2 linked regions of the Danio rerio genome follow. The protein of the gene in region 1 interacts with the protein of each later gene in a biochemical or structural test. Links are inferred from orthologs where the notes say so. Each region holds a gene or a part of one and is shown in the gene's direction. Other genes may lie near its edges.

Region 1 (2,948 bases):
GGCTTTTTAAACCGAACAGGCGCTGCCCCAGTAACACACAACCGCGTTTATTTAAAGTGAGCTGCAATAAAGGTCTTTTGCACGTCAAATACATAAAGTAGATTTTATTAGTGGTAGCTTTTTATTGTAATACTAAGCAGGAGGCTTTGTTGTTTTCTGGTAATGTAAGGTCAAATATAGGAGTAGTTCATACTCAAACCTCCTACTCAACGTGGTCACCATTCATTTTCATTTGATGGATATAAAGATGCTGTGGTAACTGAAGCTGGTTATCTGCATTAAACTCTTCATGTTGCACGAAACAGGATTGAAACCCCCAATCAAATATCATTTTGATGAACTGTCCCTTTAAAGAATCTCTCGCAGTATCTTCCCTTTTTAAGATGTCTAATAGACGTCTAAACAGTCCTCATGGCTAAATAAAGGGCTGTCAGTGAAACTCCAGTAGACGTCTAAAATAGGCCAAAACTAGACTAGTCATCAAATAAACAGAAATTAATGACTACATATATAAAGTCTGTCTATCTGACGACTAGTGTAGTTTTGACTAATCCAAGCTGTTTATGTTTAGATGTCTATTAGACGCCTATTAAACTAAAAAATAGTCTGCTGGGGTTCCCCACCCATACGACTCAATGCAATTCTCAGACTTTTGTTTTTCATTCCAAATAACCTGAACTTATAATAAAGGCAAGGGTGTTCTAACCAAAATAATAGCTACAGGAAAGCATTTTAGCAATTATACAGTGAATTGCAGGTCACGAGTCAATGGCTCAGCGCTTTATAGTCATTTTGGAGCATAAAGCCTGAAAAATGTATGAGCAAAATGTTGTGATGACAGCGAACAATCTGAAGTGAAGGTGCTGCTGCTGGGCCTTCTGAGGTATTCGGAGCTTTATATTGTTGTTCATTTGATGTTTAATTTATTCTGAATAAATTATTTTTGAAAAACCATTCCTCCTTTCTTATTTCCCATTATTAATCAGCTAAAAGTGAATTTATCTAAAATGCACACTGAATCACTTTAGTGTCACATCACGACAAAGTGATTTAATTCATTGTGCATTTTAAAGAAATCGCATACAAATCACATTTTAAAGACATTTACATTGAGTGAATTAAATCTATAAAATATTACGTCACAATAAGTGTACATGAGAGGGTTAAACAAATGAAAAAATTGGTTTTGCGTCAAACTGTGTTAAAATTCAGAGGGAATATGTTCAATTGGTTTGAACTTACCGCCGAAATGTGATTGAGGTAAAGAAAGACCAATACTAGCGCAGACGAACCAAGCGAATCAATCAGCTCTCGCATATTCAGATACACTCTGATTGGTTCGTTACTTTGCGCTGTTTATGCACTGCAAGTTCAAGCCAATGGGGGATTACATCCGCTCTGGTTTCACCACCGACAACCAATCAGGTCTGTACTTCCCTTCGCGCAACCAATCAAATGTGTGGGCGGGACTATGCTTTGAACGTTCAACCAGTCTTTAAATACTGCAGCAGTTTCACTGCCAATGTACTGATTTCTTGCACACGCGAAGAGTTAAGTAAGCCATTCAACATGTCTGGAAGAGGTAAAACCGGAGGAAAAGCCCGCGCTAAGGCTAAGACTCGCAGCTCCCGCGCCGGTCTTCAGTTCCCCGTCGGCCGTGTTCACCGTCTCCTTCGTAAAGGCAACTATGCTGAGCGAGTGGGCGCCGGTGCCCCCGTGTATCTGGCCGCCGTGCTCGAGTACCTGACTGCTGAGATCCTCGAGTTGGCGGGAAACGCCGCAAGAGACAACAAGAAGACTCGTATCATCCCTCGCCATCTCCAGTTGGCCGTCCGTAACGACGAGGAGCTGAACAAACTGCTCGGCGGAGTGACCATCGCACAGGGCGGTGTTCTGCCCAACATCCAGGCCGTGCTCCTGCCCAAGAAGACTGGCCAGGCTGCAGCCAGCTCCGGCAAATCTGGAAAGAAGGGATCTTCCCAGTCACAAGAGTATTAAATGTTGAACTGAGCTAATTCATCCAAAGGCCCTTTTAAGGGCCACCCAACTCTTCTGAAAAGAGCAATTTCCATGTGTCTGAATGTGATATAGCTTGTATTTTTGAGATGCATGCTTTGCTTATTAAATTGTCATTTTTTAATAATGTTAATGTTGGTGTTTTTTGAACCGATTTAGGCTAACTGTTATCACAATTTAAGAATTTACGTTACTTCAGTGTTTATTTCTTAACGGTACATTTTTTTTTTCTCATAATTAATTTATACGAGTTAATTTGGAAAACGGAAACTAGGTTTTCATAAACACAAGGTAAGGCAAAGTAATTCTCTGGTCTTTTTCATAATGTAAAAAGTCTTTATGTATGAGTGAACGATAGTGTGAGTCTTGTTTTCCAGTGTCAGCAAAAAACCAAAGAACTCATCAGGGGGTTGTTGATATACTTTATTATTTATAACACATTTTTTAATTCATTCTCATGTTGATTTGACAACACAATGTTGCTGGCCAAGTAATTGCTATAGTATAGCTGGTCAATTTCACATTTGGAAGGCACTTTACAACTTGCTACATAAATATAAAATATTAACACGAACTTAGACAGCTAATTTTGCCAGTAAAAATCTTACATGGTGCTAAAACACCCATAAAATCTTAGCACCTCAGTACTTTGATTATTACATGAATATTCTTCCAGTGATAAAAGGAAATGTGGGATACTTTGACACATTTTTTTTTACTCCGTTTACGTAAAAGCTAAAGATGAAAAAAAGCTCTGATGTAAAAAGTAGACATCTGTTCACTTCCTTGTAATAATGAGGTTCAGAGACACTGTAAAGCATAGGTCTCAATTCCTGGATGGTTGCAGCTCGCAGTTTTGCTTCAACCCTGATCAAATGCACCTTATGAAGATGTTCATAACTCTCGAACACCTTGATTATTTGGGTCAGCTG
Region 2 (4,016 bases), on another chromosome or scaffold:
GCTGACTAAATTGCATAAAACTGATTTTTATATGTTTTTAGCATACACATTTAGATATTTAATGCACTAAATGTGTCTTTAGGTGATTTGTGGAGTTATGACTTCTACAGTGGAGAGTTTGTAGTATCCCCAGAGCCTGATACTGCTGTTATCAAGCTGGATTTGAAGCAGCACCGCTACATTATCTTAGGCAGTGATGGGTTATGGAACATGGTATCACCGCAGGAGGCTGTGTCTATTTGTCAGGACAATGATGAGGCCAAGGTGAGTCGTTTAACCTGATATTTTAGGCCAATGTCATTGGTGTTTACTTTTAGAAGCATTCACTTACATGAATGCCTATTCCAACAGGCGAAGAACCAAAAGGGAAATGTTTCAAATGCTGTTCTGCTTGTGAACCATGCCTTATTGAGATGGCGTCAGCGCATGCTCCGTGCTGATAATACCAGTGCCATTGTTATCTCTTTGGAGTCATTTGGGACATCCAGCGAGTGTTTGCCACCTTATGAGACCGTGTACAATCTTCAAGGAACAAAATGTGGCGCTGTTTCTAAACCTTGCACCAACTCTTTGCAGACTCAGGTTAGGAATGTTTTAATCTTTTTTCTTTTGTAATGGATTATATTGTGGTTTTAAATTATTTGTGTGTTCACAGTTGTTTGCTTGGTCTGGACAATAAAAGAAAATATTTTTTAAAGACTAAACCTAAAGTAATGAAACAAAAAAAGTATTGTATGACAAATATTTGGACATTACTGAACATTCAAAACAGCTAAATATGCTTGTTGTTAGTTATGGGTCGTTCTTGAACAAATCCTTTGTATGACTTGAGAACGATGAGTCCTCCCAGGGAGGGATTCGTTCATTTGAGCATGCACACATCTGTGCAGGTAGAGTAAAAGATTAGCTATGTTTTCAAGTCTTCTTTTATTAAATTATGAGGTTAAAAGAAAATGTCTGCTTCTAACGTTATGGAAACCTGTACATGGGTACAACACGATGAAATAAATGAAGTGATGTTTTGCTTAGTTTGCCGTCACTTTTAAGTCAGCCACCTTTTGTTTTGCAATAAAATACCTGGACATTTTCCACAGGCTATATTTTACTGCTAAATATTTTAACGTTTGAAATTTAAATTCTAGATTTACATACATTATTTTGTGACAAATTATGTCATATATGTGGCAAAGAAATAGCAATTAACTTTATTTCTTTTTTTTTTTTTTTGGTGGGGCCAGTGAAAATTTTGGCAGGGCAAGTAAAAATCTGAACCACTGGTCCAGTCAAGCCAATAGGAAAAATCCTTACCGTTGAACCCTGTAAATGATTATTTTCTAGTTTTCTAGTTATGACCTGTTTGTAGTGTGATCAATGTTTGTTGTAGTTGTAGATGAGTTTGGAAGCAACTCGCAACATTTTAATAATATTTTGACAAATTAAACAAAATGACTCAAAAAGATTCGTTCAACTCACTGAACGACACTCAAAGGTCCGAGTCAGTAAAATGATCCGAACTTTTCATCTCCACCTGATGTTTGTGTAAAAACATGCTATTTTTATGTGCTGAGAACACATAATGAGCTTATTATAACTTATTTTTAACTTTAAACTATTACATCTAACTTTTAAATTGTATAATTATTATAAAATAAGTAAAGGAGTCACAACTGTACTATAAATTAATTTACAAGGAGATTGCATCTTCAACTCCTGTACTAAACTGTTATGGGTAATGCAGCTGATTTATCTGTCCATTGTTTGCTTCTTGTGATTTCAAGATTTTTTTTAACTCATTTTTTTTTATTTATTTAAAATGTCATTGATTTGTTGCATTCATAGTTCTATTAAATAGCACCTGAGTTCATTAGGGAAAGGATTGAGAGTGAGACCCATCTTTTTTTTTTTAAGTCTCTTTATGCCTGTTCAGTGCATGCCAGAGCTCTAATGGCTTAACACTTTTTTTTTTTTTTTTTCAAATGCAGTGTCCATACAGGGCATTTTCAAGCAGGGTTGTTTTAATCAAACCAACTCAATCTGAACACACCCTAAAAACAACAACACGCTTAAACTTTACTTTCAATAATGGTTTTTCCTTCTTTTTTAGGTTCCTGATGCTCCAGTACAGCCCATCCTGGAACAAAAAAATAACAGCTCTGGTGCAAGCATAATATTTGAATCTTCTGACAGCCTTACAAACTCTGAGGACCTGCCCTGTAATGACTTGCTGGAAAATGGGGCCAGTTGTGACCGAACACCGACTGGCAAACGGGTGCTCGAGGATTTCTCCTCCTCTCCTGTGGGGAAGAAGCCCCGTAGTAGTTTGACCCAGTCCTCTCTTAAAGAGTCCTCTTGTACATCCTTGCAAATACCAAGTACAGAGCCCTCGGCCAGGAACAATGGTGATGGAAGTGGTCAGTCTGAAAACGCCCAAGTGTTGCTTCAGCATGGGAAGACTACTGTATGTGTTTGCTGACATTTGTGCTGCTGTTACAATGCAATCCATTCATTCATGCTGGACGGTCAGACTCTGATATTCATATAGTTTATATAAGCTATCGAGAAACCAAATCCTGAAACAAGTAACAATGTCAAAAGAAAAAAAAAATCACCCGCTTCCATTCACAACACTCCAGCTTTAGTGTGTTTTGTGTTATACTTTATATTTTACAGACCATTGAAAATGAAAATGTGAGATTTTGTCTGATTTTAAATGAGTTTTAATTTTTACACCTTTGTATGTCCACTGCTCACTTCTATTACGCTTCGGGTCAGTCAGGTAGAGATGATGGGTCAACTAGGGATATTTGCACTTTACTTTGGATTTGTGCTGCCTGGAGAACTGTGGGGGAAAATGACCAAAAAAGAAATTATCTTCTGAGAAGATATCTCTCTGCAGCTAACATGTCACCTGTTTCAAAAATAGTTTTTGGGATCAATGCTATTGGTTGTATTTGTACATGGTTTTAATTGACAAGGAGAACGGTAAATCATTTGTAGTGTTCACTGATATCTTAACCCTGTGTCATAAGGTTTAATATTAATGTAGAATGTGAGCATGAACTTTATGAATTATGCATTTTAAACAGTTATTTTAATGTTTCCACGGATTTCATTAACATTGTTTTTGTCTCTCTGATGGGAGTAAGTGTCATTCTAAACTGAAGGTGCTGCTATGCTAAACAGGTCAATAAAAAAAAAAAAACGTTTTCGTCAATAAAAACATAGGATGTATTGAAGATATGAAATATCTGTTCCCATGTTTACATCTGAGTTTTTTTTATATTATTCATTTAAATCATTAAAAGTAATTCTTTAATGTGGACAACCATTAAGTCAGGGGTGCCCAAACTGTTTCATATAAAGGTCCAAAAATCAAATCTCATTTGTTAGCCGTAGGCTGAAAATAAATATACCAAACCATTTTACATTAAAGTTGCCAAGGGTAATTTCCTAATTTGTTTAATTTTTTTTATATTATAAAAAAATAAATAGAAAAAAATACTTTGAATTGTTTTAACTAACACAGTATAACTTTTCATTCATCATTCAATTTTTAACGCTTTTCTATGGGCGGGTTGCGGGGGCAGCAGTCAGAGAACCCCTGACTTCCCTCTGCCTAGACACTTCCTCCAGCTCCTCCGGGGGGATCCTGAGGCGTTCCCAGGCTGGCCAAGAGACATAGTCCCTCCAGCTGTCCTGGGTCTTCCCTGAGGCCTTCTTCCGGTGGGACATGCCTGGAACCCCTCCCAAGGTTGGTGTCAATAGGAATCCGAAACAGATACCCGAGCCACCTCAGCTGACTTTTCTCAATGTGGAAGAACAGTGGCTCTACTCCGAGCTCCTCACCCTATCTCTAAGAGTGTGCCCGCTTGTATCCGAGATCTTGTCCTTTCGATTATGACTCAAAGCTCATGACCATAGGTGAGAATAGGAATGTAGATTGACTGGTAAATTGAAAGCTTTGCTTTTAAGCTTAGCTCCTTTTCTTACCACAACCAACCGGTACATTGACTGCA

What was found.
Region 2: of the proteins of h2ax (region 1) and ppm1da, one has a biochemical effect on the other in vitro, tested with the Homo sapiens proteins (3 studies listed by BioGRID and IntAct). The link is inferred for Danio rerio from reciprocal best matches to the Homo sapiens genes H2AX and PPM1D.

Annotation. Positions count from the first base shown.
Region 1 is NC_133180.1:31,151,244-31,154,191, reverse strand, and holds h2ax (histone H2AX), read left to right. Parts: upstream 1-1,526; 5' UTR 1,527-1,569; coding exon 1,570-1,998; 3' UTR 1,999-2,143; downstream 2,144-2,948. UniProt on the Homo sapiens protein: Variant histone H2A which replaces conventional H2A in a subset of nucleosomes. Nucleosomes wrap and compact DNA into chromatin, limiting DNA accessibility to the cellular machineries which require DNA as a template.
Region 2 is NC_133190.1:29,433,873-29,437,888, forward strand, and holds the end of ppm1da (protein phosphatase, Mg2+/Mn2+ dependent, 1Da), read left to right. Parts: intron 1-82; coding exon 83-264; intron 265-351; coding exon 352-582; intron 583-2,104; coding exon 2,105-2,473; 3' UTR 2,474-3,231; downstream 3,232-4,016. UniProt on the Homo sapiens protein: Involved in the negative regulation of p53 expression. Required for the relief of p53-dependent checkpoint mediated cell cycle arrest.